2 linked regions of the Macaca fascicularis genome follow. The protein of the gene in region 1 interacts with the protein of each later gene in a biochemical or structural test. Links are inferred from orthologs where the notes say so. Each region holds a gene or a part of one and is shown on either strand. Other genes may lie near its edges.

Region 1 (16,048 bases):
GGCTGGGTGTGGTGGCTCACTCCTATAATCTCAGCACTTTGGGAGGCCCAGGCAGGCAGATCACTTGAGGTCAGGAGTTCAAGACTAGCCTGGCCAACATGGCAAAACCTCGTCTCTACTAAAAATACAAAAATTAACTTGGCATGGCATGGTGGCATGAGCCTGTAGTCCCAGCTACTCGGGAGGCTGAAGCAGGAGAATCACTTGAACCCAGGAGGTGGAGGTTGCAGTGAGTTGAGATCATGCTGCTGCACTCCAGCCTGGGCGACAGAGCGAGACTCCATCTCAAACAACAACAACAACAACAACAAAAACTGGAAAGTAGAATTGCTGGCAGGATTGACCTTTATACCAAAAGTCTTATTAGAGGTATATCATTATGTCATTTATTGGTGATCAAATAAATAATTCTCTGAGAAGATAGAACAATCTCAAACCTACAATGCCCCCTATGTGCTTTTAAAACATATATAGATGCTATTGTAATATACATACCCTCTTACAACTCACTTTTTGCATTCAATATTGATTTCTAGATTTATCCCTTCTGATACAACTAGCATTAGAGTCTGCATCTTAGCTGTGTTACAGTAGGTCTTCCACCGTCACAACTATTCATTTCCCTTTTGATAAATGTTTAGGTTCATTCTAGTTTTTTGCTATTCAAAACAACACTGTGATGTAAGGAATATAATGGCACATATTTCATTTCAATCATGTGCAAGTATATCTGTAAGCAAATTCCTAGAAGTAGAATTTTTGGGCCAAAAAGTATGTGCATTAGTAATTTGATAGCTATTGCCAACTTGCTGACTACAGAGGCTCTAACTACCAAGTACCCTCACCCTACCACCAGCAATGTTGAAGGGTGCCTGCCTGTGGCTCCACACCTTCAACAACAGTGTTTATCAAACTTTCTCTCATTGCTCAGTCTGATGGGTGAAATCATATTCCATTTTATTTGTATCATTGAGCTTGAACGTCTTCTCACATGTTGAAATACCATTTGTATTTCCTTTCTAATAAAATGTTTATTGGTATCCTTTGCTCATGTTAAAATTGGTTTGTTGGCCTTTTATTGATTTATAGGAACTCTTCATGTATTTGGGAAATTAGTCCTTTATGCAATTAGCAGCAAATATTTAATTGAAATGGGGTCTTGCTATGTTGTCTAAGCTGGTCTTGAACTCCTGGCTTCAAGTTGTCAAGGTGAGCCACTGTGCCTGGCACTTCATTTTTCTTTTATTTTACTTAGAATTGTTTATTTTTTGCTGGCCAGAAGATTTTTTTGATGTAGTTGAAACTTTTCTCTTTCTCTCTCTTTTTTTCTCTTGTATATTTCATCGAACTTACAAAGGTCTTCTCCATTCCAGGATTATAAAAAAAACATTCTCCCATGGTTTATTTTAACTGCTTTTAAAATTTCATATTTCCATTTAAAGAAAACTCCGACTATGAGAAGATAGTTGCAATGGTACAAATACAGCTGACATCTGGTATTCAGAATATATAAAGAACTCCTAGAAATCAATAACCATAAAAACAACCCCAGTAGAAACACGGACAAAAGATATGACCAAGCAATTCAGAGAAGAGATCTAAATGGTCAACAACTGTGAAAGGATGCTTAACTTCTCTAGTAATTCAGGGAAAAGCAAAGCCAGTGTTCCATACTCATCAAATTGGCAACAGTTTTAAAGCTTATATCAAGAGTGGTGAGGATCTGGCGAATACTCACCAAAAGCAGAGATGTGAATAAACTTCAGGTGAAAATGTGATTGTTATAACCATTTTGGAAAACAGATTGGGAATATTTATTAAGGTTGAAATGCTCCAACATCCTCCTGCCCCCATGATGCCTCATGATGGCCTCCTCCTGCCCCCATGCATGCTCTTGGGTAATCTCCTCCCATTGAATGTGGGTTAGGCCTAGTAACTCACCTTTAATAAATAGAATGTGGCAAAAGTATTATGATGTCACTTCTAGGAATTGCCTTGCAAGAAATGTTAAAAGAGGTTCTTCAGAGAGAAGAAAAATAATATTGGTTAGAAATATGAATCTACGTAAAGAAAGGAAGAACATTGAAATGGAAATAAATTAAGGTATAAATAAAATAAAATATTTTGTTTTTCTTGTTACTAATTGATCTAATAACAGCTTGTTCAAAATAATAGTATCAATATGTTGAATGATTATAGTATATATACTAATGAAACGAATGACAGAAATGATTATTAAATCTGTTATAAGAGACTGAAGGAAGGAATTGGAAATAGTATGTTACAAGGTGCCTGCACTATTCATGAGAAGTTATAGTGTTATTTAAAAGTGAACTTGGACTAGTTGTAAATGTATATTGTAAGCTCTAATCACTAAAAAAGTAAAAATAAAAAGTAAACTTAATATGCTAAGAGAGGAGAGAATAAAATGCTTAATTAAAATCAGAGAAGCTGGGTGCAGTGGTTCATGCCTGTAATCCCAGCACTTTGGGAGGTGAGGTGGGAGGATCGCTTGAGCCCAGGAGTTCCAGACCAGCCTGGGCAATATAGGGAGGCCTCATCTCTACAAAAAAAGTTAAAAAGTTAGCTGAGCATGGTGGTGTGTGCCTGCAGTCCCAGCTACTCAGGAGGCTGAGGTGGGAGGATTACTTGAGTCTGGGAGGCAAGGCTGCAGTGAGCTGACATCACACCACTGTACCCCAGTCTGAGTGACACAGTGAGACTCTATCTCAAAAAAACAAAAAGACAAACAAAACAAAACAAAACAAAAAAAGCTGAACATGGTGGCTCACACCTGTAATCCAGCGCTTTGGGAGGCCAAGGTGGGTGGATCACCTGAGGTCAGGAGTTCAACACTAGCCTGGGCAACATGGTGAAACCCTCCTCTCTACTAAAAAAATACAAAAATTACCTGGGTGTGGTGGTGGGCACCTGTAATCCCCGCTACTCAGGAGGTGAAGGCAGGAGAACCGCTTGAACCTAGGAGGTGGAGGTTGCAGTGAGCCGAGATTGAGCCACTGCACTCCAGCCTGGGTGACAGAGCAAGACTCCATCAACAAGAAAAAAAAAAAAAAAGAGCAAGGGCATCAAATAGGGAATAGTTACAAGTACTACAAGTGTGGTAGATATTAATCCAACTATATCAGTAATCACTTTAAATGTGAATGATCTAAATGCACCAATTAAAAGAGACTATCAGAATGGATTTTAAAAACAAGACTTAACTATATGTTATCTTCATGAAACCAACTGTATAAAGACAGAGATAAACTAAAAGTAAAGGGATTCAGAAATATATACCATACTAACAGTAATCAAAAGAAAGCCAGATTAGCTATGTTAATTTCAGACACAGCAGATTTTAGAACAAGGAAAATTATTAGGGACAAATAGGGGTGTTATGTAATGAAAAAGGAGTCAGTTCTCCAAGAAGACGTAACAATCTTCAATGTGTATGTGCCTAACAACAGAGCATCAAAATATATGAGTCAAAAACTGATAGGACTTCAAGAAAAAATAGATGAATTCATAATTATAGTTGGAGACTTCAACACCACTCTATCACTAATTGACAGATCCAGCAGGCAGAAAATCAGTAAAGATATAGTTGAACTGAATAGCACCATCAATCAACTGGATCTAATGGACATTTATAGATAACTTCATCCAACAAAAGCAGAATACACATTCTTTTCAAGCTCACATTGGACATTCACCAAGATTGACTACATCCTGGGCCATTAAACATGCCTCAACAAATTTAAAAGAATAGACACTATACAAAGTATCCTCTCAGACCGCAATGAAATTGAATTAGGAATCAATAAAAGAATGATAGCTGGAAAATCATATAGTATTTGGAGATTAAACAATACACTTTCAAATAAAACATGGGTTAGAGAAGAAGTGTCAAGATAAATGTTAAAGTATTTTGAGATAATTTACCAAAATATGTGGGATGCAGCAAAAGCAGTGCTTACAGGGAAATTTGTAGCATTGAATGCATACATTAGAAAATAAGAAAGACCTTAAATAAATCACCCAAGCTTCCATCTTAGGAAACTAGAAAATAAAAGAGTAAATTCAGTCCAAAGTAAGTAGAAAGAAACAGGCAATAAAATTAAAACAGGAATCAATGAAATTGAAAACAGAACAATAGTAGAGAAAAAATAATACAATCAAAAGCTGGTTCTTTGAAAAGGTCAACAAGATTGAGAAACCTATAGCCAGACTAACCAAGAAAAAAAGAGAGTAAACAGAGTTACTCATATCAGAAATTACAGAGGAGCCATTGCGACTGACCTCATGGACATTAAAAGGATAATACAAAGTATTATGAACAACTCTATGGCCACAAATTTGGTAACTTAGATAAAATGAACAAATTCCATGGCTTGTTTTTAATGAATAAGATATGGCAAAAGTGATGGGCTCTCACTGCATCTTTCCTCTTGGGATCTCTCTCTCCCTCTCTCCAGCTACCATGCTGTGAGGAGACTTAGGAAGCCTACGGATAGGTCCACATGACGAGGAAACAAAGTCTGACAACAGTCACATGAATTAGCTTAGAAATGGGTCTTCTTTGGCCTGTCGACAACCATGTAAAAGAGCCTGGAAGTGGACCTCTTACCCTACTTGAGCCTTCAAATGAGACTGCAACCCTAGATGAGAGGTTGGGTGCAACCTCATAAGAAGCTTTGAGCCAGAGGCACCTAACTAAGCCATGCCTGGATTCCAGACCCATGGAAACCGTGATATGATAAATGTTTGTTGTTTTTAGCTGCTATGTTTTAGGGAAATTTGTTATACAGCAATAGATAACTACAACATACTCTTTGACCAAGAAATTCTATTTCAGTGTTTCTATACTGGAGCAATTTATTTCAATCCTTTTCACATCAGAACATATATTTAAAATGCTAATATTGTGTCAGCTCATTGGAATAAACAGACAGTGTGCTCTTGGCCAGAGGCAACAGTCCCTAGGGGCAGCTGCTGAAGCCAGAGCTACCTTCCTGTAGATCTAAGGGGATCAATATATCAGAACACTTATAACTCAGTTGGGAAGCTCTGCCCTGAAGAAACTCTTCTATGTAGGCACAAGGAGCCATGCACTAGGATGTTCATTGAAATCCTCACTTATAATTGCACAAAACAGAAACAGTAGGAAAAGAGATAAATTAGATAACTTATGCAAAAGAAGGCCATACAATAATACGTTATAGTAATATATTGGATAATTGATACAGTAATATTCAGCAGTTAAAATGCATGACTTAGATCTACAGGTATCAAAATTGCTGAGTTTCAAAAATCAATAGAGTGAAAATCTAAGTTGCAAAAGTATATATTTATAATGATACCATTTGCATAATTTAAATACATGAAAAAAATTGTGTATTGGTCACAGATATATATATATCTATAAATATATACTACATATATGCACAGATATATATATACACATCTGTAAATATATACTACATATATGCATATATGTATATATATACACATACACATACATATACACATATACATATATACACATCTATCTATACATAGATATATATATATATACACACACAAACATGAACAAGACGAGAGCACATCAACTTCCAAATAAGGCTTATTTTCAAGAGAGAGGTCAAGTGAATAGGATGAAGTGAGAGCTTCAACTGTACTATTTTGTTTCAAAAACAGAAGGATCTGAGGATCTGGAGAAAATAAAATTTGCGCAATCCATGTGACAGGTGCATTCAAATGTGTATTTTGTATTCTACTTTTCTGTATAGTTGACATATTTAAAAATATTTTATAAAGAAAATGTATCCTCTCTTGAGTCCAAAAATACATATACAAGCTGGGCACAGTGACTCAAGCCTGTAACTCCAGCATGTTGGGAGACCGATGCAGGTGGATCGCTTGAGGTCAGGAGTTTGAGACCAGCCTGGTCAACATGGTGAAATCCCATCTCTGCCAAAAAATACAAAAACTAGCTGGGTGTGGTGGTGAGCACCTGCAGTCCTAGCAACTCAGGAGGCTGAGGCAGGAGAATTGCTTGAACTTGGGAGGTGGAGGTTGCAGTGAGCCAAGATTGCACCACTGTACTCCAGCCTGGGTGACAGAGCAAGACTCTGTCTCAAAAAAACAGAAAACAAAAATACATATACATTCAGTATATTGTATTGTCCCATTTCCTCATATCATTATTTATTTTGCAGTCTATTTGATTTATCTATACCATAAGAAATGAGGTGAAGTTTCCCACTATAATTGCAGACTTCCTGATCTCTCTTTATATTTCTAACAGTATTTGTTTTATATATTTTGAAACTATGTTGTTTGGCACATAAATTTTTGTGACTATCATATTTTTTTTAAAAAAATGCGTTGTTCTGCAACATGCTTTTTTCACTTAATATATTTATATTAGATCAGTATGTATATACTTGCCTTATTTCCTTTCTTCTTCTTTTTCTCTTTCTTTCTTTCTTTCTTTCTTTCTTTCTTTCTTTCTTTCTTTCTTTCTTTCTTTCTTTCTTTCTTTCTTTTTTTGAGACGGGGTCTGAGTCTATTTTCTAGGCTGGATTGCAGTGGCGCAATCTTAGCTCACTGCAGCCTCAACCTCCTGGGCTCAAGTGATTCTCCCACCTCAGCCTCCCAAGTGGCTGGGACTATAGGCATGTGCCATTGTGCCAAGGAAATTTTTACATTTTTTTGCAGAGATGGGGTTTCACCATATTGTCCAGGCTGGTCTGAAACTCCTGGGCTCAAGCAATCCTCCTGCCTTGGTCTCCCAAAGTGCTGTGATTACAGGTGTCAGCCACCATGTCTGTACATGAGCCACCAAGCAACATGTTTAAGTAAATTTAAGCAATTTATTTGTTGAGGAGAATTAAAGTGGTTTGCATTATCTTGCTACACTCCTATTCACATATCTTTCTCCACTTGTGTGTCTCAATAGAACACACAACAGAGAAGTTGACTAGAAGTAGAATTGCTAGATGAAAATGTATCTCAAAAAAAAAAAAAAGAAAGAAAATGTATCTCCATTTAAAAAATTGATAGCTTCAGATTTCTCGCCAATGAAGTTCAATTATTATTATCATTATTATTATCATCATTATTTTGAGACAGCATCTTGCTTGGTTGTCCAGGCTGGAGTGCAGTGGCGTGATCTCCACTCACTTCAGTCTCAACCTCCTGGGCTCACACAATCCTCCTGCCTCAGCCTCCTAAGTAGTTGGGACTACAGGCACACACCATCAGCTTGTCGTATCTTTCTGAGTGAATAAAACAACCTGTTTTGTTCTCTTTAGTGCTTTTTACTCTGAGTTCTCGATGTTTAGGATATTGATGTTGTTACGAGTTTCTTTCCTCCTTCCTTTTCTTTCTTTTTTTTTTTTTTTGCTTCTTTCTTTCCCTCATTCCCTCCCTCCCTTCCTTTTTTTCTGCTAGTATTTTACTGTCATATATATATTTTTTCTATTTCTGCTTTAGGTGAAACTCACAGAAATAGTATATAACTTGACTTTTAAAAACAAAATCCTCAAAATAAGAGTTTGGTTTTTATTAGGAGATGTTAACCCATAATGCATGCTGATATATTTAGATTCCTGCGTTTTTGTTTACTTTTTGCATCCTTTTTTTTGCACACCCCCAGCAACATTTCTTGACCTTTGTTCAGAATGAGTTTTTCTCTTTGTTCCACATATTATTACTTTAATGGTTTGAAAGTTATACATTCTATTTCTATTATGTTGCTACCCCTAAGATTTTTGTTCTCTTGTGCATTTTGTTTCCAGTAAGAACAAAACTTTGCTACTGTTGTGAACATAGGAAATGTTTACATTGGCTGTAAATATTAGAGTTCCATTATAAAGCGCAATTTAAAGACTTCAGAATTCAGTAAAATGGTATAAATCCAAAAGGCATAACTGTAATATGTTTTAACTGCAATGCAATACCAGAATATGAACCTGTGTTGTGTCTTATGATCTCTTGAATAGAGAAGCTTGGTTTTGTGATTAGCAGCAACAAATTCAACACTAAACAGCTTCAGTTTGCTTTAACAATAAGGTTAAAAAAATTTAAGCTTACTGCAACCCTAAATATAGTTTCACAGGTTTAATACTTTCGGTACAACCATAACACGTAACATAGGATGTGATGTAGTAACGTAATTACTCTCACATTGGACTTAATCAGAAAGAATTTGCAGATTTTATTTTATTAAAAAAAAACACAGAAGGGAATATAGCTAAATATTTAACATTAGTTAAAGCTGGGTGTTCGTGACATTTTTCGCTGTCCTTTGCTGTATCCTTGACGATTTCATCATTTAAGATGAAATAATGCTTTCGGGCCCACCCTGATTTGTGGAAAGCAGCTGCCGCCCCCGCCACATCAAGGGGGCGGGCTCCAGCTGACTTCACAATCACTTCCGCCGCCGCAGTCGCCACCCGCCCCGCTGCTGTCTGGCGGGGGAGGAGCTCGAGACCGGGAGCAGCGGCTCTGGCGGTCGTGGCGGTCGGAGGTCCGAGAGCTCTGCTTCTCTGAAAAGCGTGTGGCTTTCTGGACTTGGTGAGTGAAAGGCTGATTGTTTCCTCGATTCATCCGGGCGCTGGCGGTGGCGCGAGTGGTCGGGCGCAGTGCGAGTGGCCGGGCACGGGGACGAGGATTTTGCGGGGTTCCTGGGAACTGCTTTTCAGGTTCGCCCCTCGGGAAGGGGTGGGGCGGACGCGGGACCTGACTGCAGAGTGAGGCCCATGTTCTACATCGGCCTGTTCTGGGGCCGCATCCTCCGCTGCCGGGAACCCCTTTCGTGTGGCGCGGTCCCCACTCGAGTGGCTTTCATCGCTATTGGGAGGGTAGTGGTGGTCGCGGCCCTCTCCCACTTCTCCCTGCCTCTCCTCCCCTCTCCTTCCTTCTTCCTTCCTCGGCCCCTTTGCGGAGCACTCCGTGGCCTTTCTTCCCATATTTTGCTGTTGTTTTGCCAAATGGTAAATGGTTAAGATTTTTAGGTAAAAATACTGTTCCCAGGGAAAAAATTGTAAGGAGGAAAAAATAATTATTCTCAGGGAAAACTAGACCCACGCACGCCCTTTTCTTTCATTTTGCCTCTTCCCTGCTACATCGGTTTGGGTCTCCCGTTTGAGCTGATGGCCTTTTCCCACCTCTTATTATGACATTGCGTACCCCCTACCCCACACCCCTCCGTGTCTCGCGAGCACGCGCCCCCGCAGAGAAGCTTTCCATTGCAGCCCCCTCCTTGCCCCTCCATCCTCAAGGTTCCAGTGCGTCTTCTCTCCCGCGCATGCGCAGGCACACGCAGCACACACCCTCTCACACACCCTCTCACACACCCTCTCACACACCCTCACACCCTCACATCCTCCCATGCCTTCCCCCTCCTCTATCCGCCTACCACATACACACCTCTAGCACCGGCCCCCTCCCTGCTCGGTCTCTGCGTGCTCTCGCGAACACATGCCTATTCACACACCCCCTCAGGCTGCTCTCCTTCTTCCTTCCTGTCATATACACACATAAGGACATCCTTCTATTGCTGGCCAGTGACATGCATATACAGCCACATGTGCTCATTCATACCCCCTCCTCAAATGCTCTCCTCTATTGATCTCTCTGCCACGTGTGTCAGACACAGCTCTTTCGCTGGTCCCTGAGGTGCACACACACACTCACATAAATCCTTCTATGGGGACACCACCTGCTTCCCTGCTTGCCATATCCACACAGGCAGGCATCGTTCTTTGATTGCCGGCCTCTGTTCCATCCACCTCAAGCGCATCCGTCTCCAGTGCTGCGCCACTCCCGACCCCCGCTTCCGTTTGTGCCTGCTGCATTTGCTCACACTGACATTTCTCCATTGTTGCCTCCCATTTTGACTAACATACGCACACACAAACTCTCAGACACTCCTCTCCATTGCCAACCATACACTCCCCTGCCTGTGACATACACATAAACATGGGCATCCTTCTGTAGTTTCAGCTGCCACACATACAGCGACACACATAAACACCTTCCCTTTCCTCATACATACACACACCCCTCTCCTCCAAAGCCACCCCACCCATGCCTGTCATTTTCATACCCACATCCAGAATCATTCTAACACTCATACCCTTTCCCCCTACAAACATAAACATCCCTCTGTTGCAGGATTGCTGGTCCCCTTCCACCTGTCCCTCTCCTCTTGATAGACACATAGGCACTTGTGCGCACACAGCGATCTGTATTTTCCACTCTATTCCAATTTGCATTTCTCCTGTATGTTTGCAGCACTCAGAAAAAGGCAGACACCCCATAAAAAGAAAACTACAGCAGTCTTTCCTTTCCCCACATTGGCACAATTCTACAGTACTTCACCCACCTTCCAAGTGTCCGGTCACCCCCCATCTTCCGTCAGATTCTCCCCTAAGTCTGGCTTTCCTGCAAACCCAGTCTTGTAATCATTTTGCCAACATTAAAAATGTGTTCCAGGTCTACACCTGTCACTGGAATGCTACTCCAGGCCTTAGAAGAAAGTGAAACTAAATTTAAAGGCCCCTTATTCTTTCAGTTACCTGCCTGCTGAAGTGAAAATAAATCTCCCTGCTCCTTTATTCTAAACTGATTTTACTTTCCCATCTGAAAAACGTGTGCAGGGAGCAGGAATCTTCCTGCCCCAGCCCCAGCTGTATTGAAAACCCTCCTAAGTCAGAGTGATGGGTCAGGAATCTAGCAAGCCTGTATGGCCCAATCCAACAGGAGGGTATCAGTCCAATACAGGTAGGAGGTATGGAAGAAGGCATGCTTATGTCAGTTTCAGGCCACCCACGAGCCAGCGGGAAAGGATTGCCAGCCAGAGAAAGACGAACTCCAAAGTCCCAATGCACAGATCAGCCTCCAGTCAAACCACCAAGAGGAGCCGATCGCCATTTTCCACTACTCGTCGTAGTTGGGACGACAGCGAGAGTTCGGGAACCAACCTAAATATTGATAATGAGGACTATTCCAGGTATCCGCCAAGAGAGTACAGAGCTTCGGGTAGCAGAAGAGGAATGACCTATGGACATATTGACTCTTATGGGGCAGATGATAGTGAGGAGGAGGGGGCTGGGCCTGTTGAGCGACCGCCAGCGAGAGGAAAAACTGGCAAGTTTAAAGATGATAAGCTGTATGACCCAGAGAAAGGGGCAAGGTCTTTGGCTGGGCCACCTCCACAGTTCTCTAGTTTTAGCCGTGATGTGAGAGAGGAGCGAGACAAGTTAGACCCAGTCCCTGCAGCAAGATGCTCAGCTAGCAGAGCTGACTTCCTGCCACAAAGTAGTGTGGCCTCACAGTCGTCTTCTGCTGAAGGCAAGGTGGCTACAAAAGGTGACAGCTTGGAGAGGGAGAAAAGGGAGCAAAATTTACCTGCACGTCCCAGCAGGGCTCCTGTGAGTATTTGTGGTGGTGGGGAAAACACCTCAAAGAGTGCAGAGGAACCTGTGGTCAGGCCCAAAATCAGAAACCTGGCAAGTCCAAACTGCGTGAAACCCAAAATTTTTTTTGATACTGATGATGATGATGATATGCCACACAGTACTTCCAGGTGGAGGGATACTGCCAATGACAATGAAGGCCACTCAGATGGCCCAGCAAGAAGAGGCAGAGGCGAGAGTTCAAGTGGCTATTCTGAGCCAAAGTACCCTGAAGACAAACGGGAAGTGAGGAGTGACCAAGTGAAACCAGAAAAGGTGCCGAGACGACGACACACCATGGCCGACCCTGACTTCTGGACGCACAGTGATGATTACTACAAATACTGCGAGGAAGACTCTGACAGTGACAAAGAGTGGATTGCTGCTCTGCGTCGGAAATATCGAAGCCGAGAGCAAGCCCTGTCCTCCAGTGGCGAAAGCTGGGAGACTCTGCCGGGGAAAGAAGAGCGGGAACCTCCACAGGCTAAGGTGAGTGCCAGCACTGGCGCCAGCCCCGGCCCCGGTGCTAGTGCCAGTGCCGGGGCTGGCGCTGGGGCCAGTGCTGGCAGCAATGGCAACAATTACCTTGAAGAAGTTCGAGAACCATCTCTTCAGGAAGAGCAGGCATCCCTGGAAGAAGGAGAAATTCCTTGGCTCCAGTACAATGAGAATGAGAGTAGCAGTGAGGGGGATAATGATTCTGGTCATGAGTTGATGCAGCCTGGGGTATTCATGCTGGATGGGAACAACAACCTTGAAGATGACTCCAGTGTGAGCGAAGACCTAGAAGTGGATTGGAGCCTCTTTGATGGATTTGCAGATGGGTTAGGAGTGGCTGAAGCCATTTCCTATGTGGATCCTCAGTTCCTCACCTACATGGCACTTGAAGAACGCCTGGCCCAGGCAATGGAAACTGCCCTTGCACACTTGGAGTCTCTTGCAGTGGATGTGGAGGTGGCCAATCCACCAGCAAGCAAGGAGAGCATTGACGCTCTTCCCGAGATCCTGGTCACTGAAGATCATGGCGCAGTTGGTCAGGAGATGTGCTGCCCCATCTGCTGTAGCGAATATGTGAAGGGGGAGGTGGCAACTGAGCTGCCATGCCACCACTATTTCCACAAGCCGTGTGTGTCCATCTGGCTTCAGAAGTCAGGCACCTGCCCTGTGTGCCGCTGCATGTTCCCTCCCCCACTCTAAAGACCAAGGTTGTTTACTCCTGGTCTGATTATTTTCCCCATCTGAAATCCACAATACTGCAGGAGCCCTCTTGAAATTAACAATGGAAACAAAACCAGTCAGTCAGTTAGCCTAAACCTATTGATTCCTCGTGATTATTTCCAATGTGAAAACAGTTGTGTATGATTGCATTAAAAATCATATCATCTTTTAGAGGTTAGAAAAGGGAAAACTAAACTTTATAAATGCTACTTGAGATTGCAGTAAGAACATACGTTTTCTAACCTGAAAGTTAAATCGCATTTGTTTTCTTCAGTAGAATGTGTTGCTGTTACTTGTAATGTCAAGTGTATCTGTTAAATATGTCCAAAAGGCAAAATCATTTTTGTTGCATGTTATGGGTCGATGTTCCTGTAATTGCAGTGCTGTAAAAGCTTATTAAAGTTTTTCTTTTGGTTTTACATGGTGTAATGGAATTCTTTGGTTTTGTCTGAAACAGTGGTACTGAATGACTTTATAATTGATCCCTTGCATTTGCATCAAAAACTTTAGTTTCACTGGAAATGCTGACTTCAACAATCGCAAAAAAAAAAAAAAAAAAAAATGAGGGCAGTGACTTTAAAAGTAGGAATAAAGTGTATGGTTGTCCAGCTACTACAGGGAAAAAGTCAAATAGATGAAGAAGGAAGAAAACAAAGAAGGAAAGAGAGAAACAATAAGAAAGCATGGTAAAGAAACAAAACAATGGCAGGATTAAGTCCAAACTGAATGTAGGGATGAATGAGTTGAAATCACCTTTGAGAAAATAGAAACTCTCAGAGGGAATGGGTCCAAAAAAATAAAGCTATATGCGAATTTTATAGCTTAACACAGTGACACAGATAGGAATAGAAAAAATATGCCACACAAGTGCTACAGGAAAATACAGGTACTCACCTACACAGAGTGAACAGGTTTTAACATTTGGCTATATTTGCTTCAGAGATGTGTCTCTCTCTCTCTCTCTTTCTCTCTCTCTCTCCCGCCACCCCTCTCTTCTCTCTTTCTCTCTCCAATAAATATATATTTTTTAAGCACAGGTGAAGTTCCTCAGCCCATAATATTTACCTTCTTTCTTACACAGAGGTAAGAAACACACCAGAAAATGGTGTGTTTACTTCTTGTGTGTGTCTTTAGACATATATATGAGTGTGTGTATGTATGTATATGTGTGTATATATTCATAATCAAATACAGTATTAATGTTTTTTAAATGGATATAATTGATAGACTATATATATCATTTTGCAACTTGAATTTTACGCTCAACAGTGTTTTGGAGACTTAGCCATTCCGATATATGTGGATCTAGTTCATGCAGTTTTAACTGCTGTATACAAAATATTAATTGTATGAATTACCACACCTTATTTATCCATTTCCCTACTGGTGAACACTTAGGTTCTTCCCAGCATTTTGCGGCAATGAACATACTAAACAGATGTCCTTTTGTGCACATGTGTGAAGTTCTCTAGAGGTAAGTATATGGAAGTGAAATTTCTGGGTTCTAGGGTTTGAGCATCTTCACCCCAACTAGATATTGCCAAATTGCTTTCCAAAGTCATTGTACTTGTTCATGCTCCTACTGACAGTTTCTGAGTGCTATTTCCGCACATCTCCAACAGGCTGGATGTTGTTCAAGTTCAACCTGACTCATAATCGGTGACATGTAAATTAACACACCGATGAAACATATTACATCTATCAGAAGCCAATAGCTTTTCTTCATGATAATATCTAGTTTGGGCTAGGAAGAGATGAAATGAAAAGACTCATGGGGTTGGTGTGCATATAAACTATAGCGGTCTTCTTGGAGAACAGTTTGGGTAGTAGCTATCTATCAGCATATTCAATTGGTGCGTGCACTTCAGCCCAACCTGGGTTCCTTGCTAGTATGGAATTAAAACTATGCAGCAGTTAAAAGTTGGATGTACTGATACGAAAAGATCTCCAAGACAGTGTTATGAAAGCATAGTGTAGAGTAATATGTACAGTGTTTGTGTAAAATAAAACCTTACAAAACCAAACTTTATATGAAAATGCCTAAGAATGTCTGGAAGGCGACATGCCTAACTGATGGCAGGGGTTACCTCTAGGGAGGGACGGAGGATTGGGGGAAAGCAGTCAGGAAGGAGGCTTTTGTCTTTCACCTGAAATAATGAATTTGCTTCATATTTTTTACAGTGTCAGTGCATTTTCATGAATATTATTACAACAAAATAAGCAAAATCAAAAAATTTTCCAATTAGGAAAAGCAGGATGTTATTCTTCTCTCACTGCAAGTACAGAAATGTGGGTTGAAACTGCAGCTCTTTTTTCTGCAACTGGTCAAGCTGATATTTATGACTTCATCCCTCACAAGTCATTCTAGGTTTCCCCTTGGCCTTCAGCCAGCACCTCAGCTGGTTATGGAGGCTCAGGAGTCTGAGTCCTTGGAGAGCCCTTTTAGGGTGGGGTTTTGGAGGTTTACCATTAACCTTTGCTGTGCTCTGACTGGCACCACCTAAGGAGGTGTTTTAGGAGCACGCTTGGGTCCTAATCATCTTCCTTTCTGTTGCTATTGCATAGCAGTGACCCTAATTTGCCTTTTAGTCAGAATTAGTCTCTGCACAGAAACAGAAAGGGACACTTACCCAGTGCTCAAAGCCCCCTGCTGGTGTGTTGGAGCAACCTGCTACTGCAGTGTCTTGGTGGACTTGAGGCGTGCTCTACCAGGAAAGCCCACAGGCCCCAGGACCTGTACTCCTGGGGCCCTGAGTAGCTGTGACTTGGACCTGGGACATGAACTAAGCCCATCATACACTCGTGCCCAGTACTTTAAGGCTGGAGGGAGAAAGTCAGAGAAGCAGGGATCCTGAAGCATTTGTCCCCATGCTGCTGTGGTGATGATGGTGGTGGCAGCAGGGGCGGCAGCAGCAGTGGTACAGGGTGGCAGTGATGTGGGTCCCGTGCTGACAGTGCTGGCAGCCAATAGCTCCTATGGCAGGATGTGGCTGTGTGCTTGGCTGCCCAGTTCCTTTGCTCTTGCCAGTTTCTGATTCTCCAGCCTCTCTGACAATTCCCCAATCTCCTCTATAGCTTTCCAATAAAACTTTTCGGATTCAACTAAACTAGCATTGGTTTCTGTTGTTTGTAACTAGGAACCCCAAGTACTTGCCAATACCATATCCCACTTTTGTGGCTGTTTTCCTCATCATATGAGATATTTCACATGGCCAAGGGTCAGGCAATTTCTGTTTATGATGCAGTGGACCTGTCATTGGCACCCAGGGCCATGGTTTTAGAACAGCAGGCCTCAGGGGCCTCCAGACATGAAGCAGTCATTTATGAAAATAAGTTGTTTGGGTATTCATTGAAGGTATCAC
Region 2 (15,436 bases), on another chromosome or scaffold:
AAGGTGGGAAGAGGCCGTTCCTACAGGGAAAGGATACAGAACAGAGGGGTTAGAAACCAAGCAAACAAGAGAATCTTAGTGACCACTATCAAGACCGTGGATGTTTGTAATTTTATAACTTAGTAGGCCCTAATGATTTTCCTAAGTAAAGGGCCCTGGATATCTGGAAGACACATTTCTTGAAAAGAGAGTCTAAGACCAGGCTTCTGGGCAAATGGCTGCAATGCTTGGAAAGCACTATCTTATGAAGGCCCGCCTCTCCACTCGCTTCCACCAGCCAAGGAAAACTCCGTTGCTGCTTCATCAAAATACACATTTACGAGGGACAAAGTGTTATTAGGTAGTCTACCATGTGATCTAAGCAGGCGGGATCTTTGCTAAGAATGAATATATATAACTGTTGTAAATGTGTGGACACAAGGGACTTTATTGCAACCATTAAGATGTCTGGATCGCTTTTCCTGCTGTCTACCCACCAAAATAGTATTTGCCTCCCAGCTCCCTTGCTCACATGCTGCACATTGGCCCACTTTCTTCCACTGGAAAAGGCAGAGAACAGCTCATATGTGGTGGCTGCATGCTTTGATCATTGCCTTTCTTCTTAAAAAGTCCTCACCTGCTTTTAGCACTGTGTTGCTGTCAGAAAAATTAAAGCGTTTTTCTGATTCACGAGAAATACCATGAATGAAGAGGAGAATCTAGTAGATAATAAAGATGATTAGAGTTTCTTGGCAGGCATTTGCTATCGAAAAGACAAAACATTTAATTACTCTAAACATCTAAAGAGCAATTTGTAGTAGGCATTTCCTTGTCCTTTGCACTTGAAATCTTAGCTAGCTTAGCTTTTGCCTCAAAGAATTTTGATTTTTTCTTTTGGGTCTAGTAATAAAAGCATGAAGGTCATTAACATAAAGTGTTTGAAAATGTTTTTCTTTTTTAACCACTTGTCTTTGTGACTTCACTGCCTGAACAGAAAGTCACAAATGCCATATTCAAATCACACTGAATTTATTGAACATGTGAATGTGCATAGCTGCTATGGCATAGTGTCACTTTGAAGTGACACTTCATTGAAAATATATTTTTCATTCATCTCCCAAGCAAGAAAATCAGGGTTGATTTTGATTTTTAAAAGCAAATTAACTTTAATAGCACCTTGATAGATGTATTTCTTTTCAGCCCTTTTGATTTTTGTGTACATGTGTTTTGCTGCAGTGAACATCTTTCTCATCGTTCTACTGAAAGATGGCAGAATATGCCCAGAATATGCCACTTTGGCATAAGGATTACTTTGAGCTAAAGGCACTTGAAAAACAGCAGATGCAAGAAGGCCATTTGAATTCCCTCTTTTCTTCCTGAAAACAGGAGATAAAAAACTCTCATGTGAAAAATAGCTTTACTGTACCAAGAGGAAAGAAACATTACTCAATGCGGAGTCAAAGCCAAGTGAATTCTGTACAAACAACTTTGTTAAAATAATTATCTCCCTTTATCCTCCCCACATAATTTACTTTTCCCACAGTTACCTCTCTTTGTTCAACCAAATGTAAAAGCATTTAGGTTTTGCCACTTCTTTGGGTCTTCATTTCCCTAACGAGCGCTCCACCCCCCACCCTCGAAGGGTCCCAGCTGGACCTGAGACTTAAATGGACGTAAAATAGATTAACAGGAGAAAAGCATTCAAATTTCATTTAAGTTTTACAGGACATGTCCCTTCAAGGGTGGAGGGAAGGTTTTGTCTCCCCTGCAGTATATACAACTTTGTGTAGTCCTCAACTATTTTCCTTAACAGAAATCCCTGGAAAGAAGGAGACTGTTATCCAACTACCCTGCCAGGCCCTGTGCTAGGTACTGGGTAAATCTATCTCACTTAATCTTGATGCCAGGATTAGGCCTCATTTTGTTGACTTGGAGACTGAAGCGTGGAGGTGTGTCAGTAGCTCTGCCAGTATCATACAGGTTTCTAATGTTAGTTCATCTGATCCAAAAGCCCTTACTTTTTCAAGGGCTTTTTTGTTTGCTGTGAATCAGTATACAGTTAAAAGCTCAGTCTCTGGAGGCAGATTGGCTGTGTTCAGATCCCAGACCTACCACTTACTTGCTGTAGACCCTCAAAACTTCACAATTTTCTCCTGTGCCCGTTTGTGAGAAGAGAAACATAATAAATGCACATGCCTCATAGGTTTGTTGTGGGGATTAAATGAAGTCATACCTGTAAACTACCTGGAATAAGGTCTGACCCACCGTTCACTTTGTCTAGTAGTCCCCCCTTATCTGTGGAGGATGTGTTGCAAGACCCTCAGTGGATGCCTGAAATCATGGACACACAATTAGGTACATTGTGTACCCTAAGTACACAATGTTTTCCCCTATACATAGATACATACTGTATTAGGCAGGGTTCTCTAGAAGGACAGAATTAATAGGATAGATATATATATAAAGGGGAGTTTATTAAGGAGTATTGACTCACATGATCACAGGGTGAAGCCCCAACAATAGGCTGTCTGCAAGCTGAGGAGCAAGGAAGCCAGTCCGAGTCCCAAAACCTCAAAAATAGGGAGTCCAACAGTGCAGCCTTCAGTCTGTGGCTGAAGACCCTTGAGCCCCTGGCAAACCACTAGTGTAAGTCCAAGAATCCAAAAGCCAAAGAACTTGGAGTCTGATGTTCAAGGGCAGGAGGCATCCAGCATGGGAGAAAGATGAAGACCAGAAGACTCAGCAGGTCAAGTCCTTCCACGTTCTTCTGCCTGCTTTATTCTAGCCGCGCTGGCAGCTGATTAGATGGTGCCCACCCAGATTGAGGGTGGGTCTGCCTCTCTCAGTCCACTGACTCAAATGTTAATCTCCTTTGACAACACCCTCACAGACACACCCAGGAATAATACTTTGCTTCCTTCAATCCAATCAAGTTGACACTCAACATTAATCGTTACATGAACCTATGATAAAATTTAATTTAGGCCAGGAGCGGTGGCTCACGCCTGTAATCCTAGCACTTTGGGAGGCTGAGGGATGGATCACTTGAGGTCAGGAGTTCGAGACCAGCCTGGCTAAAATGGTGAAACCCCATCTCTATTAAAAATACAAAAAAATTAGCTAGGCATGGTGGTACACACCTGTAATCCTAGCTACTCAGGAGGCTGAGATGGGAGGATCTCTTGAACGTGGGAAGCGGAGGTTGCACTGAGCCAAGATCGTGACACTGCACTCCAGTGCAGTGGCATAAGAGTGCGACTCCATCTCAAAAAAAAAAAAAAAAAAAAAAAAGGTTTCATTTATAAATTAGTCACAGTAGAGATTAACAATAATTAATGAGAAACAAAAATGAAAACTTAAGCCCTCCAGCTGACTGAACAGACCCCTTCTTGACCAAGGGGACCCCAGAATAACCTTGGAAACCCTCTCCCGCTCTAAATGCCATTCGGCTTTCTTCCCTAAGCGCTAAACAGAAATCAGCCCTTCAAGACTCCACCGCTGGTATCAACCAGCCACCTGATGCTGCCCCTCCCTTTTGGAGTTTTGGCACAACTGCCCAGCAGTTCTTCCTGGTAAAAGACTACCAACCATGGAGTAGTTAGGGCCAGTCTATGGAAGACATGCAGTCAGGGTTTTCATGTCCTCTGCTTCACCTTCTGATATCAGAGGGTCCGAAAACTCCTACCCTGGATCATGCTAACACTGCCAGTTTTGGAATATGGGTCCCATGGAGAGGCATGAAGTGCAGTTGCGCATGTGCACGTTTCTCCTTGCGTAAATATTCATGACTCCTCCTATAGCTTATTAAATATGTATACTTGGCCACCCCACTCTGCATAGATTCGTGCTCCCTTTGCCCCTCCATTGAAGTGTCTGTTTCTGGCTTCTAGCATGAGGTTTTGCTTCCCAGGCTGTTGGAATGGCCACCCCGCAGACTGCAACCCTCTTTGAGAAATAAAGCTCTTTCCAAATTTATGAACCTCATCATCCTTCAGTTGACACTAACAATAAAGTAGAAAAAATATAATATAGTGTAATAAGTTATATTGTGATTTCTCTCTGAAAATATCTTAATATTTTCAGACTGTTGACTGCAGGCAACTGAAACCAAAGAAAGTGAAACTGCAGACATGGAGATGGAGCAGCAACTACTATATAATCATTGACTGTTGTCGTTTATATTATTGTTACTAATGTTAGTATTGTTTTCACCAGTTTCTCCCCAAACATCCATAGCTTCCAGTATTAATCCAAGGTGGAATGTGGGTCTTCTTCTCCATGCAGAAGAATGTGGGACTTCTCCATGCAGGGCCTAAACTTCATTCTAATACTAACGCTAATACTAATACTAATACTAATTCTAATACTAATTCTAATACTCTTATTTTATGGGTGCATTTTCTCACCTGCATTCCTCTGGACAGAGCGTAGAGAGATGTTTTCAGACTTACAAACTGGCATCTCTTCTCCTCTATTTTGAGTAATGACAGTCTGCTGTCTAGGTAAGAGTGCTGCTAGAGGACACTGCTGATTTTCACAGTCATGGGGGTAGCCTGATTGGTGGACTGCTTGGTGACGTAAGTGAATACCTTAGCAAGAAACAGCATTGAAAAACCAGCCCAGTTGTTGACAATAGCTTTTATTTAATTTTCCACTTTCCCCTTATATCTTGGTCACCGAACTTTTTTGACTCAAGGTAGACCATCCACATCCTGTGGTAGGGACCTTTTGCAGAATTCTAGATGGCAGGAAGCTTTTATGAACCTAAGTCCAAATTTTAATTTGCAAGGAAACTGAAGCAGATGAATTTTCTCATTGTAAAAAAATGAATACCTTGATAATATATTTGTTTTTCGTAGTAGGCCTTTGTCATTAAGCTTGATGCCTGAGGATATAGTTGTATCTTGTGTGGAACAGTAAGTTATTACTCACTGCGTATCAGATTTTAGCATACTTGCATTAGTTCATGGAATATGATTTTACATTTACTATAGCAGTTCCAGTGCCATTATCAGATTGCATTTTCCTACTGAATTACAAACAAATGTGTTATGCTACTAACATTTAACAAAATTTTAATAAGGTTGTGTTTGATGCTATTATTCAGATAATGTGTTCTAAATTGCTTTCCTTTGAATATATTTGCATTAAAGAGGAACTCGATTTGGTTCTTTGAAGAGTTTATCCACTTTCTGGGTAGCTTTAAAAAGACACAGGGAAATTCAGTTTCTTCTTTGCAAGTCAATAAATAGAGAAGAAACAAATTTGCTAAGATCTGTAGAAGTAATGGCAGCAGATTGCTGATGGTTTGAGTTAATGAAATGACTCATTTTGGCTACTTGAGTTGCACAATTAAAATATACATAGACTGCACACATCATAGATGAGGGATAAATACCCCTGTGTTCTCTTTTCTTTCTCAAAGCTAATATATTATGAATTAAGAAATTTAAGAGATCCACATTATTGCAATTCTTGATCAGTGATGCCCAAAATTAAGTGGTAATCTCTTGAGAGTGCACGTTTGCAGCATTCCTCTTACGCATTTCTGCTAAAATTGTGGCTGTGAGCTGAAGGCAGTTGTTTTCCAAAGGATAAACTCATTTGACCAAGCTAAAACATTTACTTAATATTGACAAATTTTGTGGGGTTTTCTCATAGTTGTCTAGCTAAAGGAGTTTAATGCAGAGAATACACATACGGAAATAGTGAAACCGAAGTCCTGCTTGCGCGGAAAGCCTGCAGCAGACTTTTGTTTTTAACAAACTCCACGGGGCATTAGAGAAAGTAACTGGGGGCAGTGGGTTGGAGGGTATAAAATTGAGCGGAGGGACGAAAACTAAGAGCCCTCTGGGTTTTTTATATCCTTCTACATGTTGTGTAGAAATAAATGCTTTTACTTCCACGGTCGTACCTTCCTCTTCACCTTTTTTTTTTTCTTTCTCACACATTCATCCTGTGAGATCTTTTCATTTACAAATGCTCCCGATTTAGAATTAGAAACTCATAATACCGTCTGTAAAACTTGCCTGAGCCTGTCTGGTCCTGAATTTAGCGACACACTTGTTTAGGAGTTTCGGTTCTCGTTCTCTGCTTGCATGGTTTAGTAAGAACAACACTTCGCTATACTGAAATTCACCGACCAGACCTGCAGGGCTGCACAGAAATCTCGGATGCTTTTGGTACCCCCAGCCCCGCAGCCGCGCAGGCGCACCGCCCAGCCGCCGTGACGCAAGGCGCAGGCTTCATGACGCGGCACGCAGTCTCAGCCGACACTGCGCGCCCCTTCTGGGGCCCCGCCCAGGCAGCGGCCTTAGCGGGTCGCCGACCCGCGATCCCAGCCGCGGCTGCTTGCTTGCCGGAGTGTGCACCGGTACGCGTCGCCGGTGACATGTTGCAAAAACCGAGGAACCGGGGTCGCTCTGGCGGCCAGGCCGAGAGGGACAGCGACTGGAGCCGTGGCGGAAACTCCGGGGCCTCGCGGGCGGGCGAACACGCCCGGGCCCGCAGAGACGGCTTCGCAGAGGAGGCCCCGAGCACTTCCCGGGGGCCGGGCGGCTCGCAGGGGTCGCAGGGCGCCCGCCGGTCCCAGGCCTCCCCCGCCGTGGGCCCCAGGACCCAGAAGCAGCAGGAGCTGAAAGTGTCCGAGCTGGTGCAGTTCTTACTGATTAAGGACCAGAAGAAGATTCCGATCAAGCGGGCCGACATACTGAAGCACGTCATCGGGGACTACAAGGACATCTTCCCCGACCTCCTCAAACGGGCCGCCGAGCGCCTCCAGTACGTCTTCGGTTATAAGCTGGTGGAACTTGAACCCAAGAGCAACACTTACATCCTCATCAACACCCTGGAGCCGGTGGAGGAGGATGCCGAGGTGAGGGGTGACCAAGGCACGCCCACTACGGGCCTCCTGATGATCGTCCTGGGGCTCATCTTTATGAAGGGCAACACCGTCAAGGAGACTGAAGTCTGGGACTTTCTGCGGCGCTTAGGGGTCTACCCCACCAAGAAGCATTTCATTTTCGGAGATCCAAAGAAACTCATTACCGAGGACTTTGTGCGACAACGTTACCTGGAATACCGGCGGATACCCCACACCGACCCCGTGGACTACGAGTTCCAGTGGGGCCCGCGAACCAACCTGGAAACCAGCAAGATGAAAGTTCTTAAGTTTGTGGCCAAAGTCCATAATCAAGACCCCAAGGACTGGCCAGCGCAGTACTGTGAGGCGTTGGCAGATGAGGAGAACAGGGCCAGACCTCAGCCCAGTGGCTCAGCCCCATCCTCTTGAAATCTGAGGTGGATTCAGAGGGACCCCCGGGACAAGGGTCTGAGACCCAAAGGCACAGTGCAGAGGAGCGGGGGAAGGGAGAACGAACCCAGGAAGCGTATTTCTGTAGCGTTTCAATGTGTGTAGCTTTAGGATGTGTTTGCAAAGTTTTGTTCTTTTAATGTTGTGTTATTTGGTTCCAGATTTTCATCTATAAACAAAGGAGCATTTGTTTTGCTTTGATTTTACTTTTTTTGGTATAAAAAATTTTCCTAGCTTAGTAAAACGAATTGGAAAACTTGACTATGATCTGAAACAGATATGCCAGAAGGAACACATAAGTAAGTTGCTTTGGTGCCAAGAAAATAAAAAAGTAGCTATTATCGGGTCTCTTAAGCATCCCAGTTTGTAAGGAAAAATAAAAGTCTTTATAAAATTAAAAATAAAAACGTAATTGCCTATATCCTTATTACCTTAACCTATTTTATTTTTTCTATATTTCCTACATATGTAAGTATTATTCATGGTTCCAAGCAATGAACGTGGTGTATTTTCTCCAAATAGCAATTGTTTATATTCATAATTACTCAGCTGTGTTGCTAAACATGCAGTTCCACTTAGTTTTTTTTACATGCTACTCTAGTTATTACAATAAATACTGTATTTTTGAAGCACTGAAGCATTGTGTGTTTTTTAAATCGTGGGCCATGAGACAATTTCATGACGAAATCAGCGTCTTAAAGTTTTTGCAACATATTGAGGTCAATGTTGTTTTGTAGAAGTTGTTTTACTTTTGTGTGTGTGTGTACAGGATCATGAGGTAAAATATATTTCTACTGTGGATACCAAAAAGGCTTATAAAACAATAGCGTAACCATTAACCATGCCTGCTTGGGAATCAGACTGCCTGGGTTCAGATCCTGGCCCCACCGTCACTAGTATAGGAATTTACGTAGGTTCCTTAGTTTGTATGCAGATGTTTCTTGACCTGTAAAATGGGTTTAGTCCCTGATGTGGAGGAATTTGCTTGTTATTCTTTAATGTTTTTATTTTTTATTCTCGGTCTGGAGCTGCCACTTTTTAAATACAACTTTTCTTTATCTTGTTTTCCAAATGATTCCTAGGAGAGCAATTACTGGTTCAAAAGGTATATTCCGCTAGTCTGACTCTATTGTATGGGGAAATAAGTATAAAGTGTATGGTGAGTATAGCCCACATAGAACAGTGAGAGCAGGACATAAGATCAACCTCGTAGGGAGTTAGGTATAGGGAAAAGGTGTGGGTCTTGGGGCTGTCTGGCAAACTGAATTTGAATTACGGCTCATGCTAACTTGTCAGCATGGTGATATGGTGGTAGGTTTTAAGCTGTCTGAATCTCAGTTTCTTTACCTGTAAAATGAAAAAAAATTATAGCTATATAATAGTTTGTTTTATGGACTAGATGAACTAGAAGAGTTCATAGTCCCATTGTATTCCTCCATTACATGTAGCAGATGCTGTTTTTAATGCAGAGATTCAACACGTTTTATTCAGTGGGTAAATAAGTATAATTGTTTTAGGGGGAGGTGCTGCAAATTAACCTTGAAATAAGGCAGATATTTTTCACTCGGGGGGGAAAAAGTGAACTTCATCAACACTGGACTGAATGTCATTTAAAAGAGTCTATAGTGAGTATGGAGGAATGTGATAGGTTGCTGGGTTTTATTTCATTCTGTTGAATTGGGATTTGCCTTTGTTTCATCAGTGGAAGATGTTTGGTCCTTATAGGCATTTCTTCTTGATCTGCATTTTATTTCAGTGTATAAATTGCTTCCTGCCTCCTGGTCCTGTGACCTCCCTGACTCAGCTTTCTCCTCCTCGTGCCCTCTGATACTCACATTCTCACCTGTATAATAAAAATTGTTACCCTGCAGTCACCACCGGTTATATCTGAGGCAAAATTCCCTCCGCTTTTCTCAGAGGTGTTAACAATTTACCATCGATAATCTTGTTTCAAATTTTAAAATATGAAACATAAGAGGCCACATCAAGGCCTTATATCTTTTCCTTCTCACCCTCCCCAGAGATAACAAAAGTCTGCGGCTATCGGGCTGTTGTATGACTGTATAATTTTACTACACATGTATAGATACATAACCAATATAGAGTTTTATTTTGTGGGCTTTCATGATTTATATAAACGGTATTACGTGTGTCCTTATGCAACTTGCTGTTCTCACTCACCATTATGTATTTGAGATTCAGCCATGTGGATATATATAGACCTGATTCACTCATTTTAATTGTTCTTTTATGGGGGAAAAATAACTTTATCCATTCCTTAATGGCTAGACAGTTAAGGTCTTTCCAGTTCTTTGAGATTTGCAGGCATTGTACAGTACTTCTTTAGGCACATGTGTGAGTTTCTCCAGCCAGAAACAAATGGAGCAATCAGGGACTATTGCCAAACTGTTCTTGAGCTTGTGTCAAGTTACACTCCTACCAACATTTTACACAGTTTTGTTTTGTTTTTGTTGCCAATCCCTCAACCTTCACCCACTGTGAACACTTGGCCTTTTCAATATCTTTTCAGCCATTTTGGTGTAGTGTGAAATAATCATTTATTACGGTATTAACTTGTACCTGTTGCTTACTAGTGATGTTAAGTATCTGCCTATCTTTTACTCTCACTCTTTTTGACTGTCAGGTTTCATGTCTTAGACACATTTCTATTGATTTGTAAGACATCTTTATATGTTCTACATGTTAATCCATGGTCTGCTCTATCTATCTAGTGCAAATACCTTCTCCCACATTTTCACTTCTTTTGGTCATACAGATCATTTGACCTTAATGTGTAACAATCATCAGTGTTTATAAGAGCTACATTTGTGTATAGTGCTTTAAAAAATTCCCCTAATCCTAAAATTGTAAAGATGTTTTCTGCATTTTTCCCCTAAGTTCAAAGTTTTGATCTGCACATTTTATGCTTTTAATCTGCTTTTGTGTATGATGTGAGGCATGGAAATAGTTTTTGTGTTTTTTCCTATATGGATAGCCTAGCACCAATTTTTCATCATTTATTCTTTTCACACTGATTTATGACACTCAGTATTCTATAGCAATGTCCCATCTATAGATAAGTTTATGGATAGGACTGAATTGGTTTCTTTGCTATCCATCTGCAAATACCATACTATAATTCTTAATTTTTTTTTTTTTTTTTTTTTTTTTGAGACAGAGTCTCACTCTTGTCGCCCATGCTGGGGTGCAGTGACTCTATCTTGGCTCACTGCAACCTCTGCCTCCTGGATTCAAGCGATTCTCCTGCCTCAGCCTCCTGAGTACTGGGATTACAGGCACCTGCCACCACACCTGGCTAATTTTTGTACTTTTGGTAGAGACAGGGTTTTGCCACGTTGGCCAGGGTGGTCTGGAACCTGACCTTAGGTGATCCGCCCGCCTCGGCCTCCTCAAGTGCTGGGATTACAGGCATGAGCCACCATGCCCAGCCTATAATTCTTTAGCATCGTATGTGTCTTCTTTTTCGATTCTTAAAGCCTTTTAGTCTTTTTTGCATTGGCTGAAAGTGCAATATCTTATTGAAAAGAAGCAGTTACAGCAGGCTGTAAAGATGTTTCTGATTCCTTATTCTTGATTTTAAAGGAAATAATGTTTAACTTTTGCCATAGAGTGTGATGTTTGCTGTTAGAGTTTTTTTCCCCTATAAATACCTTTTACTGAGCTATTTATTTACCCCTTCAGTCCTAGCTTGCTTAGAGATGTTTAGAAAAACTACGAATGACTTTAGATTTATATATGCTCTTTATTCACCTGCTAATATGATTAAAATTTCTTATTTACTCTGTAAATTTGTTTTTTGGGCATATAATTTGGTATAATAACACATAGAGTTTTCTGATATCTAAACATTCTTGCATTTTGGAGCCAAACACTTGTTGATAAAATTTTTAAATACATATAGCTCAAAATATATAATTTTGCATCTTTTGACATAAGGGGGTTTAGTCTTTAATTTTCATATGTTATCATTATTTTTGAGGTTATGCTAATTTACTTAGAGATAACCTTAAATTTACAGAAAAGTTGCAAGCCCAATGCAAAATAATTTGTTCCCTGAACTATTTAGTTATGATTCTTTAGTCTCCTTCCTATCCAATATTTCCTCAGTCTTTCCTTGACCATCATGACCTTCACTTGAAGAATACAGGCCTGTTTTCTGTAGAACATCCTTCAGCTGGGGTTTGTCTGCTGTTTCTTCATGATCGGATTTGAATTATGCATCTTTGGGAAGAATATCACAGAAGCAATGCTGTGTTATTTTTGGATCCTATCAGGTGGCACAAAATTTCAATTTGTCCTGTTATTTTGAAACTTTGATCACTTTGGTTAAGGTGTCATGTGCCTCCACTGCGAAGTTTTCTCCTTTAAGGTAAATAACTTGGGGGGAGATACTTTGAGACTTTGTGTAGACCCATGGGTCTCTTATCATTAACTTATTATCTAATCTTTTATTATCATTACATATTCCGATACTCAAATTGTCCCTGATTTGGCCAGTGGGAGCCCCTTAAAGCTGGCTTTTGCATCTTTAACATGCCCCCAACATCATTTATTGAGCATTTCCTTACTTGATAGCACCAAAAGAGAGGGAGTTCTGTCTTTTTTTTTTAGACGGAGTTCCGCTCGGATTGGTGCGACCTCGGCTCACTGCAATCTCCACCTCCTGGGTTCAAGCGATTCTCCTGCCTCAGCCTCCAGAGTAGCTGGGACTACAGGTGCCCACCACCACACCCAGCTAATTTTTTGTGTTTTTAGTAGAGATGGGGATTTCACCGTGTTAGCCAGGATGGTCTCCATCTCCTGACCTCGTGATCCGCCCGCTTCGGCCTCCCAAAGTGCTAGGATTATAGGTGTGAGCCACCGTGCTTGGCCAGGAGTTCAGTCTTAACTCTCCCTGCCCTAGACCTGGAATTAATCCTTTCCCTAAAGAGCTCTGGTTTCTTTTTGTGGAGAATGGAATTGAGAAACAAAGTTGCATTTTTAGTAGAGACAGGGTTTCACCACCTGACCATGATGGTCTCTATCTCTTGACCTCGTGATCCTCCCGCCTCGGCCTCCCAAAGTGCTGGGATTCCAGGTGTGAGGTGGCGTGTGCCTGTAGTCCCAGCTACTTGGGAGGCCGAGGCAGGAAAATCCCTTGAACCTAGGAGGTGGAGGTTGCAGTGAGCCGAGATTGTGCCACTGCCCTCCAGCCTGGTGACAGAGCGAGACTCAAAAAAAAAAGAAACAAGGTTGCTAGGTTCGCTCATGCCTACTGGGAATATCATTGCTCCCAGCCCTCTAGGTGACGAAATTATAGGATATCTATCTATCAGTCATCTACACAGCACTGAAGACTATGAGATTACATTATACTGCCATTTGCAATACAGCACCACCGTGTGTATTCTGGTTTGAGAAACTCAGCACCTATTATCTTTGCCATATTTCCTTATTTGATTAATTCACCTTGTAAATAACCAATCCACTATCCTCGCTGCCACTCCGTCCCACATGGGTGCGCTTAGCTTCCCACCTGGGCTGCGATGTCCCACATTACTGGCTTGTCTGTGCAGTCACCCTTCTCCCGTTGCTAGAGCTTTCACCCCACTCAGGTGACCTTGGCCTCTCCCAGGACATGGAACTTGTTCTGTCCCACTTAACGGCTATTGCACTGAATTGTTCAAGAAATAGAAAACCTGTGGTCTTATAAATGCGTTGGGGAACTTGCCTTTTGCCCTATTATCGGAAGATTAGATGTTTTCGAAAGTTTGAAACAAATCTACCCGTGAAAGGCTGTGGGCCTGCTGTTTTTTTGTGGGTAGAGTTTTACTGATATTTTTCTCAAGATTATGTTCAGGTTTTTTTGTTCTTTTGAAATTGGTTTTGGTCACTTATATTTTCTAGAAGATGTTTTCATATATTTTCTGATATAATTAGCAGAAAGCATTTCTTAGTATTGTCCTTTGTGCAGTGAGCTGAGATCACACCATTGCACTCCAGCCTGGGTGACAATGCGAGACTCCATCTCTAAATAAATAAATAAATAATAAAAAATGGTGATTCATCTGTGCCATGAAGTATTAGGCAATTGTAGAAGGGAATAGGGTTATTTGTATGTTCTTATAGCGAGATCTTCACTATATTAAGTGCAAAAAAAGTAAGTGAAGAAAATGTATGTATTATGCTGCTGTTATATAGTTTTATTAAAAAAAGATGGAAGGATAAAATATAAAATTAAAAAATAAATGCTTATCTATTAAAAAATAGAAGGGAGGAAATAGAGTGGAGGAACAGAATAAAGGCTAGACTTATGTGAAACTTCACTTATAGACCTGACTTTAGAATAATTTTATATAATTATAAATGAAACTCAGTTTTAGAAACAATTCCTAAACAAGAAAAAATGAAATAAAAGGAACTAACCTGGGTTCCTGATCAGTAGCATAACCACACATAAAGGAACCATGTGAGTTTAAAACACCATAATTTGACTATTTCTGGTAGAATGTACTGTAAGAATAAAAAGAAATATAAATCTTAAACTATTTTCAGTCATTTTTTTTGGCAGTTGTATTGGCGTTGTTATTTTGAGACTTGCGTGGATATTGTGAAATTAAATCCAACAGATTAATTATATTAAGAATAGTTTTTGGGGCCGGGCGCGGTGGCTCAAGCCTGTAATCCCAGCACTTTGGGAGGCCGAGGCGGGCGGATCACAAGGTCAGGAGATCGAGACCATGGTGAAACCCCGTCTCTACTAAAAATAGAAAAAATTAGCCGGGCACAGTGGCGGGCGCCTGTAGTCCCAGCTAATCGGGAGGCTGAGGCCGGAGAATGGCGTGAACCCGGGAGTCGGAGCTTGCAGTGAGCCGAGATTGTGCCACTGCACTCTAGCCTGGGGGACAGCGCGAGACTCCGTCTCAAAAAAAAAAAAAAAAAAAAAAAAAAAAAAAAAAGAATAGTTTTTGGCATGGTTGAAAGGAGATACAGATGTAAAATTAATATGGTTACGTAAAACCTTATAGTTTTGTTTGCAGTTTTTTTGTTATGTATGACTATATTTATTTTAAATTTTAGATTCAGGAGGTACATGTGCAGGTTTGTTACTTGAGTATGTTGCGTGATGCTAAAGTTTAGGCTTCTAATAATCCCATCACCCAGTTAGTGAGCACAGTAGGTGGTGTTTCAGCTCTTCCCCTCAACCCCCGGTTGGAGTCCTTAGTGCCTGTTGTCCCCATCTTTGTGTCTGTGTGTCCCCAAAGTTTAGCTCCCACCCTGTAAGTGAGAATATACAGTATTTGGTTAGACTCTCTCTGTCTAATGACGCAGATGATTAAAACGTATCAAATGTGTTTAAGTTCTTGGCTCACAATGGCTCAAACTCACTCCCCTCTCCAGTAAACAGACAAAACAGTATTTCATGATACTGTTAATTTTGGAGGATGCTAGGGAACCAGCGTTTTTTTTTTTTTGAGATGGAGTTTCACTCTGCTGCCCAGGCTGAAGATCTCAGCTCGCTGCAACCTCTGCCTCCCGGGTTCAAGCAATTCTCCTGCCTTAGCTTCCTGAGTAGATGGGATTACAGGCACGCAGCACCATGTCCGGCTAATTTATGTATTTTTAGTAGAGACGGACTTTCACCATGTTGGTCAGGCTGGTCTCAAACTCCTGACCTCATGATCCACCCACCTTGACCTCCTAAAGTGCTGGGATTGCAGGCATAATCCACTGTGCCCAGCCAGGAATCAGCTTTTTAAAAAAATAGACATGTGTCAAAGACTATGTCTAACTCATTATTTAATGAGGAAATCAGTAAGAAGTTACAAGCAGTTGAAAGGCTAATTCAAACACTGCACACATATAAGCAATCAGGAATGCTGAAATAAATTTACAAATAAATATAAAAGTGGTCAATATCAGTGGGGCAATAATCAGTTACATGCTACCAGACAAAATTCCTTTACATTTGTATCGTCAAGAATCATTTGCTCTACTATCAGTTTTATACGACTATCAGTTGATGAACTATCAGTTGTATGCAGAGTTTTGAAATAGCAAAAAGACATTGTAAGGCAGAAATAACCCTGAAGGGTGCATTAGACAGGATATCCAGTGACTTTTTTTTTGCTCTTTAACAAGTTT

The links.
Region 2: the proteins of PJA1 (region 1) and NSMCE3 form a complex in vitro, tested with the Homo sapiens proteins (2 studies listed by BioGRID). The link is inferred for Macaca fascicularis from reciprocal best matches to the Homo sapiens genes PJA1 and NSMCE3.

The regions. Positions count from the first base shown.
Region 1 is NC_088395.1:75,889,970-75,906,017, reverse strand, and holds PJA1 (E3 ubiquitin-protein ligase Praja-1), read left to right. Parts: upstream 1-8,479; 5' UTR 8,480-8,583; intron 8,584-10,506; 5' UTR 10,507-10,730; coding exon 10,731-12,665; 3' UTR 12,666-13,105; downstream 13,106-16,048. UniProt on the Homo sapiens protein: Has E2-dependent E3 ubiquitin-protein ligase activity. Ubiquitinates MAGED1 antigen leading to its subsequent degradation by proteasome. May be involved in protein sorting.
Region 2 is NC_088381.1:8,202,290-8,217,725, forward strand, and holds NSMCE3 (non-structural maintenance of chromosomes element 3 homolog), read left to right. Parts: upstream 1-6,256; 5' UTR 6,257-6,370; coding exon 6,371-7,270; 3' UTR 7,271-7,920; downstream 7,921-15,436. UniProt on the Homo sapiens protein: Component of the SMC5-SMC6 complex, a complex involved in repair of DNA double-strand breaks by homologous recombination. The complex may promote sister chromatid homologous recombination by recruiting the SMC1-SMC3 cohesin complex to double-strand breaks.